Linked DNA regions of Mytilus edulis. The protein of the gene in region 2 interacts with the protein of the main gene of each other region in a biochemical or structural test. Links are inferred from orthologs where the notes say so. Each region holds a gene or a part of one and is shown on either strand. Other genes may lie near its edges.

Region 1 (8,587 bases), on a different chromosome or scaffold from region 2:
AAAAGCAGCTTTTATAACACAGATGAAGCAGTTCAGCAAATGGAAGCACATTACACAAGATGTTGAACATTCCATGATAAAAAAAGACTCTCAGAGTAATGTGTTCTTTGTATCATTTGTTGGAGTCACAACTTGTAGTTTAGTAACATAGTGGTATGGAAAACTAGAGGCTCTAAAGAGCCTGTGTCGCTCACCTTGGTCTATGTGAATATTAAACAATGGACACAGATGGATTCATGACAAAATTGTGTTTTGGTGATGGTGATGTGTTTGTAGATCTTACTTTACTTAACATTCTTGCTGCTTACAATTATCTCTATCTATAACAGTACTTTCTGTGGAAAATGTTATTGAAAATCTTCAAATTTTAAGAAAATTGTTAAAAATTGACTATGAAGGGCAATTACTCCTTAGGGGGTCAGTTGACTATTTTGGTCATAGTGACTTATTTTTAGTTCTTACTTTGCTGTACATTATTGCTGTTTACAGTTTATCTCTATCTATAATAATATTCAAGATAACAAAAAAAACAGCAAAATTTCCTCAAAATTACCAATTCAGGGGCAGCAACCTAACAACCAATTATCCGATTCATCTGAAAATTCCAGGGCAGATAGATCGTGACCTGATCAACAATTTTACTTCCTGTCAGATTTGCTCTAAATGCTTTGGTTTTTGAGTTATAAGCCAAAAACTGCATTTTACCCCTATGTTCTATTTTTAGCCATGGCGGCCATCTGTGTTGGTTGGCCGGGTCACCGGACACATTTTTTAAACTACATACCCCAATGATAATTATGGCCACGTTTGGTTAAATTTGGCCCAGTAGTTTCAGAGAAAAAGATTTTTCTAAAAGATTACTAAGATTTACGAAAAATGGTTAAAAATTGACTATAAAGGGCAATAACTCCTAAAGTGGTCAACTGACCATTTTGGTCATGTTGACTTATTTGTAGATCTTACTTTGCTGAACATTATTGCTGTTTACAGTTTATCTCTATCTATAATAATATTCAAGATAATAACCAAAAACAGCAAAATTTCCTTAAAATTATCAATTCAGGGGCAGCAACCCAACAACGGGTTGTTCAATTCATCTGAAAATTTCAGGGCAGATAGATCTTGACCTGATGAACAATTTAATTCCTGTCAGATTTGCTCTAAATGCTTTGGTTTTTGAATTATAAGCCAAAAACTGCATTTTACCCCTATGTTCTATTTTTAGCCATGGCGGCCATCTTGGTTGGTTGGTCGGTCACTCCACACATTTTTTAAACTAGATACCCCAATGATGATTGTGGCCAAGTTTGGATTAATTTGTCCCAGTAGTTTCAGAGGAGAAGATTTTTGTATAAGATAACTAAGATTTACGAAAAATGGTTAAAAATGGACTAAAAAGGGCAATAACTCCTAAAGGGGTCAACTGACCATTTCGGTCACGTTGACTTATTTGTAAATCTTACTTTGCTGAACATTATTGCTGTTTACAGTTTATCTCTATCTATAATAATATTCAAGATAATAACCAAAAACAGCAAAATTTCCTTAAAATTATCAATTCAGGGGCAGCAACCCAACAACGGGTTGTCCGATTCATCTGAAAATTTCAGGGCAGATAGATCTTGACCTGATAAACAATTTTACCCCATGTCAGATTTGCTCTAAATGCTTTGGTTTTTGAGTTATAAGCCAAAAACTGCATTTTACCCCTATGTTCTATTTTTAGCCATGGCGGCCATCTTGGTTGGTTGGCCGGGTCACGCCACACATTTTTTAAACTAGATACCCCAATGATGATTGTGGCCAAGTTTGGTTTAATTTGGCCCAGTAGTTTCAGAGGAGAAGATTTTTGTAAAAGTTAACGACGACGGACGACGACGACGGACGACGACGGACGACGACGGACGACGGACGACGGACGCCGGACGCAAAGTGATGGGAAAAGCTCACTTGGCCCTTCGGGCCAGGTGAGCTAAAAACTAGTGAAATATGATCGAAAAATATTTTGTTTAAAGGATTTCTGATTTTTTTTTAATAAATTCAGTAAATTTCAGATTTCTAGGTAATATCACCATGGGGACATTTAATTGCTTACCTTCTAGGTCATATGGACTCTGATGGATACATGTAGTTGTCTCATTGGCAATTATACCACATCACTTTATTTTTTAAAATGAACACTCTTGTTCGATACATGTATTGTCTTACAAACCTTTGTCTTTGTCTACTCTAATTACAACTACACATTCACTCCTCCCCACTCTAATTAATTTGTTGATAGAACGGATACGTCGACGAGACAATTCACTCAACAATATCATGCCTTCAATATTGTTATATTCCAGGAGATGAACATATGCTCCCATCTCTGCTATAGATCTGACATTGACCATAACAACATCCTCTACCTCTGGGTACTTATTACCATAAAATCTACACGTAAGAACCATTTTTTATATCTGTAATGAAGGAAAATAGTTACATTGTATATATCTTTTACCATGATTTAAATTTTTTATTTTAATTATAGATCAAAGTATGTTTTACCTCAATCTTAAATTCAAAAAAGCTTTAAAAATTGATGAAATATGATTTCAAATATTCTAATCATACAATCTAGAATGCAGGAGAATTGTGTGCCCGTCTTTTTCTGTCTGTTCATATAGGACTAAGGTCACACTGTCTTTTTCTTTTACTTTTTTCTAAAAACAATAAAAAAATCTAGTTAATAAATCTTTTATTTCATTTACTTTCCCAAATCGACCAAGCATGCCAAAAATGCAGGGTTTCCCCTGAGTCAATTATTTTTTTCGCCATCTCTTTCACCAAAACAATATATTTTTCGCCACTTCATTTTTTTTTCGCTAAGTAACATAAACATATTTTTCGTTTAAAATTTTTCTTTTTTTCTACTCCCCCCCCTAAATAAGATGAGTTTGCCCCATTGTGGTCTATAAATATTCTTTTAAACTTATCTTAGAGTCTACATTGCAATGAATAAACACTAAAGAATTTGGCGAAAGAAAAATATATAACGATTTATTTTCGTCCATCTTGTTAATTTACTTTTTTTCTGGGACTTTACCTGATCAGACAGTTAATACTCGGAACTCACCCTGAACTCATTAAGATTTTGACAGAAATCAAAAATCCGCTGATTGCATTTTATAGCTATTGCCAACAAAGGACTAATTAATAAAGGTGTTGATTGTTTTGTTTGTCAAAATGATATGGTTAAATGATGTTTGTCACATGTCACATTAAGGATTTATTAACCACTTTGAGACGCACATGTTTGTAGCAAATTTTTGATGTCTCCTCTCCTTCTTTGTATGATAGTTAAAAAAAGTTAAACTATACTTGAGAGATGGGTCGAAGTACCCTTTTCGAAGCTATGTCGTAGATGTAGATGAAGAACAAATTCATGATTGACCTCCCTCTTTGTCTCTTTTACATGTAGTTTTTATCTTGGTTTAATTTCTCCTTGATTTATAGACCACATTCCCTTCAATCACTTTATACATGTCTAATGATCTGAATGTCTATTTTTTATTTGAATAAATGTGTGTAACTGGGTTGGTGTGATTGGTTTATTCTGCACATCGCACTAATTTAAATTCATACTCTCAAATAATTCAAATATTTACACCTTGACCAGATTGCGCTAAATTGACAGACGAAACGTTATATTATAATGCTTTGAAAGAATAGCATTTCATCATTAATGTATGCCAACAGAGGGTTACTATTTGAAATAGCTTCAAATAAGCATTTAAATGTGAATTACATTGATATTATGGTCTTGGGGAAATTTTGACATGTGTTCCGTCTGATGCAAGATGTGTTTATAAGAATGTTGTGAAAAACGAATTTTAGATAGTTTATGATTTTGTATGATTTGTGGGTTCTTGTTTCGTTTGAATAAAATAAAAGCATGAGTAAATACTATTAGTTTAGCACATGATACACTATATAAAAGTTGTATGGACATTTTATAGTCATATAGCTTTTTAAAAAACAAAATTCTTTTTACTAGATAAATTTAAGAAATATCATGGTGAAGTGTGCATCATAGGTCAGTTTCATCACCATTTAACAATAATTGCATACCATCGAACACCCCAAAAGTCAAATAAAACAATAAAGATACGGTACTTTGAATCTATAAAACAATAAAATGGTCGAACTATTATTCTGTTCTACAAACTATCGACAAAAAAAAGTAAGTAAGTATATTTTTTTTATTTGGATTCGGCATATTGACAAACAATACAAACATACACTCTAATGAGCTTTTCACCGAATATAAAAACAGCTTTCGGGTCGATCCGGCCCCACGTCGATCCGGCCCAAGTCGATCCGTCCCACGTCGATCCGGCCCATATGTCAAGTCGATCCGGCCCCAATAAAAAATATTTTTATAAGGAATGAAAATAAAGATATATATTAATGTAATTCATAAATGTTTATGATTTTTATTATAATGTAAAAGGTATACGGTAAAAAAAAAATATTTTCAGATGAGTACAAAACAACATGAACAAACTAGGTTGATTATGATTTTATTACAAGTTTTTAAGAGTATTGGGTATAATTATATTAAAACAATTCAGACAAAAATTTGATTTAATTAAGTGATTACAAGTGGCATTACCTTATAGTTCACAATCGCCAGACTATTGTTGAATAAACAAACCAATTATAGACTAATGATTTGATTAATCAAGTCATTATGATGAGTTAAATTTTATAGGTTTCAGTGGACTGTAAATATTTATTTAGATATTCTGTGTATATGAACTAACAAAAAATAAATAACCTGCAATTCAACAATAACACTCATTTTCGTATCGATTTAAAATAGTTCTTTAACTGGTACTCCAATACTTCACTTACCTTTTGTCATCTATCATCGGACACTTTTTGAAAATTCCATTTAAACTGTTAAAATGTGTCACAAATTCCTCCAAAATCAATATAGTTATTTCATATTTATTATGGGGCCGGATCGACTTGGGGCCGGATCAACGTGGGCCGGATCGACTTGGGCCGGATCGACTTTGGGCCGGATGGACTTGGGGCCGGAACGACCGGATACCATAAAGACATATGCAATAACAAATAAAACAAGGCATGCAGCATGCAATAAATGATAAAAAGCAGCACCAAAAATTAACTCTAAGCAAATCGCATATACATGTATCTTGCAAAATACCAAGCCTGACATATATATGAAGCACTAAAATTTTAAAAAATTTGCAGTTTAAAAATATTTTTTTTTTAAATTTATGATTTATAAAGTAAAAATTTAAAATCTTTCAAAATTTCAAATCTTAAAAACAAAATTTCAGTTGCAATGCAGCATAAAAAGCATAAATATTGTAACACAAATTATCTACAGGCAGAGCAAAAACATTCTGTTCCACTCCAGGACTGAACAAAACTCTTAAAATGTGAGAAGCTGTTAACAGTCCTGAAATGGTCTGGTAAGCTATTCCATAAAGAAGCAGCAGCAAAACTAAAAGATTTTTTTCCATATGAGGTAGTTCTTACCTGTGGTATTTCCAAAATATTACTGTATCTAAAAGAATATTTAGTGTGTTTAATTTGGAGTAAATTTTGTAAACATACATTCTCATGGGAACCAACTTGTCGACTTGTTCCTTCATTTTATGAAGCCGACTTCACACAGGAATTTCCTTAGAAGAAACAAAAGAATTTAGCAATATCCTATAACTTTACTTCCCGCTTTATCGATGATGTTCTCTCACTAAATAATACAAAATTTGGTGACTATGTTGAACCAGAGACTTATATACATGTGTATATATGTCTCTGGTTGAACGCATCGTGCTATCCCATCGAACTAGAGATAAAGGATACAACATATACAGTTAAGTCTGCATGAGATCTTGACTTACATCTGGAAATTGACAATAAGGGTCGGTTAAAAACAAAACTTTCCGATAAAAGAGATTATTTCAGCTTCCCAATTGTAAACTTTCCATTTAAATGTAGCAACATTCCAGCAGCGCCTGTATACGGAGTATATATATACATTTTGTATCTCCCATTTGATACGATATTCCGTGACGGGCTAGTATTTTTATCATGATTTCCTTGGCTGTTCACAAGGAAGCTATTAAACTAAAACTTCTAAATCATGAGTTGGTTGACCTACATGGAATATCCGTTTCATAGACGACATTGGATATGTTCTTAATGTCGTTACTACAATCCCGTTCCCTTTTCACGAATGTGACCTGCCGAATTAGACAATTTATGGGGTTTATAATAGCATGAGCAACACTACGGATGCCGACATGTGGAGCAGGATCTGTGTACCCTTCAAGAGCACCTGAGAACACCCATAGTTTTTGGTCGGGTTCATGATGCTAAGTCTTTTTTTTCTATGTTGTGTTTTGTGTACTATTGTTTGTCTGTTTGGGTTGTCTTTTCCTTTCGAGCCATGGCGTTGTCAGTGTACCACCGAACACCCCGGACCAAAAGTCAAAGTAAAACAATAAAAAACTTCGACTCTACAAAACAATAGAATGGATTAAATAGGTTGGTTGGTCTATTATTTTGATTTCATAAGTACATTTATATATGTAGGACTCTAAAGTGCGATGGTACTCTAAAGTGCGATGGTTACGCTAAAGTACGATGGTCTACGCTAAAGTGCGATGGTGTCAGACGCTAAAGTGTGATGGTTGTTTGTTTTTTAAGTACGATCAGAAATCACGCTAAAGTGCGATGGTATGACACGCTTAAGTGCGATGGTGTAACGGGAATGGGGTTCAGGCAATGGTTTTCGTTTGTTGCTGAGTTTCTATTACATTTTCGTTTATTGTTTTGATTATGTGTCAAGCCGAAGTCTTTATCTTTTGAATTGTTTTACACTGGTCATTGTATAACCCTATATAGCTTGTAACGGCATGGACCAATGCATTACGTTGACGGCCGTAGGATTATTAGCCGCATACATGTGTACAAGTGTTATTTTATGTCCACTGTAATTATTTTTGTCATATTAATGTTTTGGTTATCATCTGTTAAAGTCATTAAGTCAAATGACTATCCTGCTATAAGAGATTAACATAGCATGTTCTCTAAGGTCACATTGTAAATACTTTTATATGATTTATATGTTTTATTTTTGTAAACAAAGAGTTGGAGAATATTTGGAGATTATTTGGGTCAGTTGGAGAATATTTGGAGAATATTTAGGTCAGTTGGAGAATATTTAGGTCAGTTGGAGAATATTTGGAGAATATTTGGAGATCATAGGTATATAAGAGCCCTCTGTTTTTAGTGTTTAGAGAGGATTAAAGGCAAGACATTTAAGAACAATACAATGTGAAAAGTTATTTAAAAAGGATTTTTGTTATTCTAGGCGCATAACATTTTTAGATATATCTTAGCAGATTACTGATAGCTTTGGAATTATTATTATTTCTTATATTCTTTATGTCCGCACAGTATTGGAGACTGTTGCGTGGTTCCGCTCAGTATTGGACGCTGATGCGTGGTTTTGTCCGCACAGTATTGGAGACTGTTGCGTGGTTCCGCTCAGTATTGGACGCTGATGCGTGGTTTTGTCCGCACAGTATTGGATACTGTTGCGTGGTTCCGCTCAGTATTGGACACTGAAGCGTGGTTTTGTCCGCATAGGATTGGACGCTATGCGTGGGTTTTTGTGTGTGTACAGTATCAGACACTGTTGCCGATTTTATACCGTGTGAAAGTAATTTGCTAATGAATATTTCAATTATACATTTTTGTAAACTGTATGTTATGTAAATAGTGTCCGGAATGGAATTTTAATAAATAGATTAGTGAATTTACTTGTGTATTTCTTGACAACAATACTACAGATTATTGGATTATTTTGTTCTTGAATTTTCTGTGATTTCATAATACCCGGCCTGACCAGAAAGTTTGATGTAACTCGACCGCCATGGCACATGATCGGCATTTGGGATTGGATGGATAGTTTATACTACATCTTCTTATGTTTATCTAAAGTACGATAGTTGTTCAAAAGGTGTAATGGTTACACTGTAATATAGTTAGTACATCCGGAATTTAGTGGAAGTCGTTTTTTAATAAAATAATATGTTATAAGACAATGCCCCGTGTTTAAGGTCATACTTAAAGTTGCATATTTCAATAACATTAATAGGTCGAAGATAGATAGTTGTCGTATTGGCAATCATATAGTATGATGATACTACACATCTGTTTGTTAGGTTGCTGTCTAATTGACATATGCTAGTATTTATTATATAACAGAAATAACAAACCGTATAGTATTTTTTTTTTGGATTGAATAATTCAATTAGAAAGTAAATGTTAGATTAAAGTTATTTCTACAATTTCACAAATTAAGTTAACCTATTCCAGCAACGACAAAAAATTCCAGATTGTGATCATTTGTTTTTCTCTTCTCTTGTAATAAAAATCTTTAATCTGGACAAACATTCTCGTCATAATGCTGTGGAACGTTTATAACGACGATGCAGTTGCAAAAAAACGCACTTTAGCGTATCAAACCATCGTACTTTAGCGTAGGCCATCGCACTTT
Region 2 (8,121 bases):
CCAAGTTTTAAGCAGAGATGTAAACCAATTCCAGCTATTGGTAACAGCGACCACGACATTGTCCTTCTTGATACCTCAATTAAAACACAAAAACCTAAACCGGTTAAACGTAAAATACAACTATGGAAAAGAACCAACATAGATGAAATACAAAATGAGGTGAGGTTATTTGCTGAAACCTTTAACCAGACGACCTTCACTAATATTGAAAACATGTGGAAATATTTCAAAGAAAACATCATGAAAATTATTGATCAGAAAGTACCAACAAAGATGACAACTACAAAATTTACCCATCCTTGGATCAATACCACCATCAAGCGCCTAATAAGAAGGAAAAACAAGGCCCACAAGAAATCAAGGAAAACAAAGAAAAGGAGAGACAGAGATAGATATAAATACCTCCAACAACAAACACAAATGGAAATAAGAAAAGCATACAAAGAATATATGAATGACATCATTAGTCTCAGTTACACTGAGAAACCGAAAAGATTTTGGTCATTCTTGAAGAGCAAAGGACAGGACTCGGTTGGAGTTGCACCACTCAAAAACAAGGAAGGATTCCTTAAAAGCGACAGCCAGAGTAAAGCCAATATCTTAAATGAACAGTTTTGCTCGGTTTTCACAAAAGAAGATGGCAGCACTATTCCCGATAAAGGTCCTAGTAACATCAATACAATGAATGACATCACAGTAACTGAAAATGGGGTATTCAAACTGTTAAAAAACCTTAACACCAACAAAGCAGCAGGACCAGATGAAATACCAACCAAAATACTGCAAATAACTGCTGCAGAATTATCACCAATTCTGACAAGAATCTTTCAGTTTTCACTTGATACAGGAGAAGTTCCACAAGATTGGAGAGATGCCAACATAGTGCCACTATACAAGAAAGGGGATACTCACCTAGCGGCCAACTATCGTCCAGTCTCCCTTACCTCCATCACTTGTAAGCTGTTAGAGCATATAGTTCACAGCAGCATAATGAAACATTTTGATCAACAAAATATACTCTGTGACAACCAACATGGTTTCAGGAAACGCAGATCATGTGAAAGTCAGCTCATCATCACCATCGATCGTATAGCCAAATACCTTTCAAATGGAACCCAGATTGACATCATACTCCTGGATTTTGAAAAGGCATTTGACAAGGTTCCTCATTCAAGACTGCTGTACAAACTCCAATTTTATGGAGTAAGGGGCCGGACAAACTCCTGGATCAGTTCATTCCTATCAAACAGGAAACAACAGGTAGTATTGGAAGGTGCTAGATCTCAACAAGACGATGTTCTGTCAGGTGTGCCACAAGGCACAGTACTAGGTCCTTTATTGTTCCTAACATACATCAATGACATGCCCGGATATACTCAATCAGATGTCCGCCTCTTTGCTGATGACAGTCTACTATACAGGGAAATTAGTAACACCAAAGATACAGAACAACTTCAGAAAGACCTTGAAGCATTAGAAAATTGGGAAAAAACATGGATGATGAGATTCAATCCAACAAAATGCAATATTATCCGCATACCACCAAAGAACAAAGAACCTATACAATACCCATACACTCTACATGGACACATACTCGAACCAGTAGATAGTGCCAAGTACTTGGGAGTTTCAATATCAAACAACCTCTCATGGAACAAACATATCCAGAGTGTTACAGCAAAGGGTAACCGAACACTTGGGTTTGTCAAACGAAACCTTAAAGAATGTACCAGGAAAGTAAAGGCTGCTGGCTATACAACACTCGTGCGACCTGTCATAGAGTATGCTTCTACTATATGGGACCCAACCAACCAAGCAAGCATCAACACACTAGAACTTATACAGAGGAGAGCTGCTAGATTTGTCTATAATGACTACACATCACGCACACCAGGGTGCGTCACTACAATGTTAGAAGATCTTAAATGGGACACATTACAGACAAGACGCCGTGACAACAGGCTATGCATGCTCTATCGTATCCAGAATGAGCTGATAGACATCAACAAGAGTACTTACCTCAAAGGTGGCGACAGTAGAACTCGTGGAGGACACAAGTTTTACCAACAGAGGGTCACCAGTGATGTCTACAGGAACTCCTTCTTTCCAAGAACAATCATGGAATGGAATACATTACCTGCCAGGGTTGCTGAAGCGGGATCAGTTGAAGATTTTCGCTCAGGGCTACAGACAACACATTAATACCAGACTGGACGATTGTACTGACATAATTTTAACCGTAACAACCTGATTTTATTGTAAATACTGTATATAGCCTTAGGGGACTAGATATGTGATGTCACCATGCGTAGTCCCGCAGAGTTTAAACGTTTCATTAAAGGAACCCAACTCTTATATGGAAGAAGAAGAAGAAGAATATATTGTATATTTTTGTCTGTTATTTGATGGTCTTTGATATTTATTCTGTCATTTAATGGATTTTTTTTTTATTATAATCTTTATGACCTTCGGGACCCAAAATTTGTTAATAAAATTGATCTTATCTTAACAAAAAGGTGACATTGATTTATGATCATTACCCGGGGATCATTTTTGATACCGACAAAGCACTTGTTACGACACTGGGCCTCTTGGTTTTTTTTCTGGATTATCTCCCTTACGAAGTTTTCAGTGTCCTTGACCTCTAGTATTATCAGACTGATGCAATAATTTGAACGATGAAAAACTGAAAAATCAAGGAAACTCGAGCTGCTATTTCATTTATCTGTGATAAAATCATCAACTTTATTGTTGATCTTTAATTTCAAGAATGGAGGACGACGAGCTGGTAAGAGGATTGAAAAATAAATGATAAAATGACTTTTTTTGAGCCGGGAATATGAGAAAAATATGGCGACTTCCATCCTCGATCACACGTGTAGTAAATTATTCGAAATCAGCATATTAGTTATGATAAAGTCACACGTTTGCATATATTTTTTTCTTCAATTCATGGTTGTTAATGCAAATCATTAAATATTGCTGAAGATTGGCTAGCATAAAAACAGAATCTCACGAAATTATCTCGTATCTGGGTTGGTTCGGTGCTGTTGACGTATCGTGTTCTCACCTGAACCACAATCACCTTTATTGTTATTATGTTTTACCATGGTGATGTTTCCAATGAACCCAATACTGTCCACAGTTCTCCTTTTGACATAATTTAATTCAGTTATGGTTAAGACAGTAGTGTCTTCTAGACAAAAATTTGTATCACTCAATATTGTTACCATTCAAACAAAGAGACTACCTACAGGCTACAGCACTTTCAGTTTCATACATATATCTAAACTTAGTATAAAGTTGGCACAGACTTGTATTTGTATTTCCCACTGCTGTTAACATGGTAAATAGCATGTCACAGAATAGATGGGTATGACCATATGTCGCAGATTCCTTTCGGCTATTGTGTGATAGTTGCGCTTGCTGGGGAATTCTGATTTAAGCTTCAAGTTGTAGTGACACACACTACCATGTCTTCCAGATGGTTCCAATCAATAGCGACTGTGCACAAAAATAGTTTTTGAACATGTCCGATTTACTATTTTGAACTACAAAAATGTATGACCATTCGTTTGTTGTTACAGACTTGTTGGTCTACAATGTACTTAGTGATAAAGTTATTCAAAGGTTGTTGCTCTGATTTGTCGTTTTGGTCTGTGGAATTTAATAAGGTTGTGCGGAGGGAGCACTTGTATCTTCCATTAAACCACTTCGAAAAACAAAATCAATTGTTTTATATAAACTCTTCATAACTACTTTAACATGGTGAATGTACAAAATGCAAATTAAATAAGCAAGAAGAACTCATCAATGCCTGATAGAATGGAAATATACAGTCTGTTGATAACATCAATGTTAGTGCTGTGATGTCAAGATTGGGTTTAGTTAAGTGACTAGTGACATTGGTCTAGATCATAAGATTTTTATTTTTAGTGAGGTACTTTGTATTTTAACCCTTCTTGAATCATCTTATAAAAGTATATATATTCATAAAACTTTTTGTAATAAACAACCTACCTAATTAGTATTACTTTTCAGAAAAAAATAATGAGATAATATTCCCTGTATTATTATCTGCTAGGCTATAAATATACATTATACAAATCGATATTGCATCAGACGTGTTTTAGTATAAAATAAAGACTGCAATATAAATTGAAACATTTATCTTTAAAATAGCAAAGGAAAAATATAATACATATAGCTCTAAGCCTCTTCTATACAGGAATATTTTGATGCAATTGGATCAGTAAAAAAGGATAAAAAAATCATTATTATTCTAGATGTTCAGAAATTAAATTATGGTTTATGAAAGAGAAAAGGTAAGTTCCTAAAATGTGTTAATTTTGAAAAAAAATCAGTTTATCAAAGTGTCAATACAAATTTTGTAAAGGCAAAATATGGCATCAAAACTAAAAAATATATACAAATGTATGGGAAAATCCTCAACATAGGTTTTGATTTCTTTATAGTTTCGAAATAAGGTTATTTAATGGTATTTTTGTGATGAAATACCATACTTTATAAAATGAGACAGGAATTAGATGATGCAACATCTGATCAATAACTTTTTCATGTAAACTAAGTTTACATTCCTGTTCTGTTTGATTCATTGATAACTTAAAAAAAATTTGTGGAAGATTTTTAAATTTCAAGTCATTTGAATATTTTAGGTAAATGAGTAGGATTTGGTCTAATCTGAAGGAAAAAAATGTTCATTATTTAAACAAATAGGTTGACATGTCTACATGTATGTATCTGGATTGTCAGCCAATATTGTCATACATTTGTACATTTCTTTCGTACATATGAGTGTAATAATTGTCTTTGTTTATATAAATTAATATAATTTACCTTTACAGACCCCCTTTGATCCTAATATGATGAAAAAGAAAAAGAAGAAGAAGAAGGTACCATTTGATTTAGATGCAGCTATGGGTGATCCAGAAGGAGCAACAGATGGGGCACCAACCCCAGAAACAACTGAAATCCAAGAGGAACCAAAGGAAAACAAATCTGAAAATCAAAGGGAGAAAGTAGACGATGGTAATACATAATGGGAAATAATTTGGAAATACATGTATATGTGAAGTGTACATGGTGTACAATGTATGTGAATAGAAACGATGAGTTCATAACTTGACTACATGGGTGATCTGAGGTGCTCAAGAAGGGTATGAAGATCCTGCATGAGCCAATAAATATCATTGATATTCGACATGCTTATATGATCAGATGAATAAAACAGGACATATAAGTGAAGACTTACAGATGAACACTCAAAGCTACATTGATATTGATATTTTATCTGAACAATAATTAGGTTTTTCACTACTCTGCAGAAATTAAATCCTAGAGTATGACTTCTTTCTCAAAAACTATGAGTCTTAGGACATCTTTCGCAGAGAATCGTGAGGAGTGAAAGTTTAATGAGATGACTCATGATCATTGTATTCATTTGCACAAGGACAATTTCTATCCAAAACAGCTCATTTGTTAATCTATAATTTGACTTTCCAATAATGAATTCAAATTTTTCAACTTAGTTATAATAGCCACACTATAAACAAATAAGCACAATGTTGCCTGTGTATGTCCCTGGTACACAATGACATCACCTTGTACATGTATGTATATGAATTCTCTAAAATGCTTCACGCTGGCACATTTGTAACTTTTTTTTTAATACATTGAAAAGAAAGTGTTTATTTGACAGATTATATTATGGTTTCACACAGATTATATTATGGTTTCACACAGATTATATTATGGTTTCACACAGATTCAGCAATTTGATGTAGAAGAATGAATTTGTTTGAATATTTTCAGATATGTCATTAGAATTTAGCCTTGGGATGAAAAAGAAGAAAAAGAAAAAGAAAGCATTTGAACTGGATGACATTGGAGATGCTCTGCCTGTAAGTAAAAGTATAAAGTTTAGATCTGGTTTCCATGTTAAATTAGGGGCCTCAGCGGCCAAGTGGTCTAAGTAGTTCTTACTACTGTAATCACTAGCCAGTCAACACTGAGGTTGTAAATTCATACCCTGCTCCTGGGGGTGCACACAACTTCAATCTTAATTGACTAGTATTGTCAGTTTTTCTATTTAAAGTCTGAGGTTTTCTCTAGGCACTCTGTTGTATGAACTAGAACACGTGTGCGCATGTGTACAGGTGGGAAATTTAATTATGCATCCTACATTTCTACAAAAATGCTTCAATAATCATTGATATCTGTATCTAACGTTCATTTCAAGTATTTTGTTGAAGAAATGATGCGGAAAGAGCTTCTTCACTCAGTCGTGCTTTGTAAACGTACACAGATTTTACGTATCTGTTTCTAGTCCATGTTTTACCAGTCAGGTCAACATCCGGTATAAGGAAAATGTGATTTTTAAAACTAAAGTAAAATGTTTTGACAAATAAAGAGTATGGATATCTATAAAAAGGTTTAATACCACTACAGGAAAGTTGGGATTGATTTTGGGGGTTATGGTCCCAATAGTTAAGGAAGAAGGGGCCAAAAAGGGGGCCCAAAATAAGCATTTTTGTAGTTTTAAAACAATAACTTGTGTTTAAGTGTATGAATCTCTCTGAAATAATTCCACAGGTTTCCATACCATGAAAGGATGGTAATTAATGACTTTGGGGGCTTATGACTCTAAATGTTTTGGAATTAGGGGCTAAAAAAGGCGAAATTAGGGGCCCAAAAAATGGGATAAACTAGATTTTCCAGACCAACTTTAGATTTACTGAATGGATCTCTATTAATTTCTACCAGAAGGTTCAATACCACTAATTAAAGGAAGGTTTGGATTGATTTTGGGGGTTATGGTCCTTATTGTTTAGGATTTAGGGGCCAAAAAGGGGGTCCAAAATAAGCATTTTTGTAGTTTTCAAACAATAACTTGTGTTTAAGTGGATGAATCTCTCTGAAATTTTACCACAAGTTTCCATACAATTGATGGTTAGTAATGACTTTGGGGGGTTCTTAAAATGTTTTGGAATTGGGGGCCAAAAAAGGGGGAAACTAGGTTTTTCTGGTCAATGAACAATTAAGACAATTCAAAAGCAGTGTAATGGAGGTAAATCATAAACAGATAACATACAATTTTTGGTTTGTGCAGATTTACCTCCCTTACACTACTTGTAAACAATGTATAAAGAAATGTCAGGTTTTGGACCTATTTAAAAAAAAAGGGGATGGTAGTAGTTTTCAATTTTTTTTCTCAAATTCCAAATTTTTTATACGACCGCAAATTTTGAAAAAATTTTCGTCGTATATTGCTAATACGTTGGCGTCGTCGTCGTCGTCCGGCGTCCGAATACTTTTAGTTTTCGCACTCTAACTTTAGTAAAAGTGAATGGAAATCTATGAAATTTTAACACAAGGTTTATGACCACAAAAGGAAGGTTGGTATTGATTTTGGGAGTTTTGGTCCCAACATTTTAGGAATTAGGGGCCAAAAAGGGCCCAAATAAGCATTTTCTTGGTTTTCGCACTATAACTTTAGTTTAAGTTAATAGAAATCTATGAAATTTTGACACAAGGTTTATGACCACAAAAGGAAGGTTGGTATTGATTTTGGGAGTTTTGGTCTCAACAGTTTAGGAATTAGGGGCCAAAAAAGGGCCCAAATAAGCATTATTCTTGGTTTTCGCACAATAACATTAGTTTAAGTAAATAGAAATCAATGAAATTTAAACACAATGTTAATGACTACAAAAGGAAGGTTGGTATTGATTTTGGGAGTTTAGGTCCCAACAGTTTAGGAATTAGGGGCCAAAAAGGGACCCAAATAAGCATTTTTCTTGGTTTTCGCACCATAACGTTAGTATAAGTAAATAGAAATCTATGAAATTTAAACACAAGATTTATGACCATAAAAGAAAGGTTGGGTTTGATTTTGGGAGTTTTGGTCCCAACATAATAAGGGGCCCAAAGGGTCCAAAATTAAACTTTTGTTTGATTTCATCAAAATTGAATAATTGGGGTTCTTTGATATGCTGAATCTAACTGTCATGACTGTGTATGTAGATTCATAACTTTTGGTCCCGTTTTCAAATTGGTCTACATTAAGGTCCAAAGGGTCCAAAATTAAACTTAGTTTGATTTTGA

What was found.
Region 1: the proteins of eukaryotic translation initiation factor 2 subunit 2-like (region 2) and eukaryotic translation initiation factor 2 subunit 1-like form a complex in vitro, tested with the Homo sapiens proteins (2 studies listed by BioGRID and IntAct). The link is inferred for Mytilus edulis from reciprocal best matches to the Homo sapiens genes EIF2S2 and EIF2S1.

The regions. Positions count from the first base shown.
Region 1 is NC_092344.1:105,392,436-105,401,022, forward strand, and holds the start of eukaryotic translation initiation factor 2 subunit 1-like, read right to left. Parts: upstream 3,868-8,587; 5' UTR 3,788-3,867; intron 2,460-3,787; 5' UTR 2,451-2,459; coding exon 2,213-2,450; intron 1-2,212. UniProt on the Homo sapiens protein: Member of the eIF2 complex that functions in the early steps of protein synthesis by forming a ternary complex with GTP and initiator tRNA. This complex binds to a 40S ribosomal subunit, followed by mRNA binding to form a 43S pre-initiation complex (43S PIC).
Region 2 is NC_092348.1:20,410,972-20,419,092, reverse strand, and holds the start of eukaryotic translation initiation factor 2 subunit 2-like, read left to right. Parts: upstream 1-4,156; 5' UTR 4,157-4,304; coding exon 4,305-4,325; intron 4,326-4,865; coding exon 4,866-5,049; intron 5,050-5,832; coding exon 5,833-5,921; intron 5,922-8,121.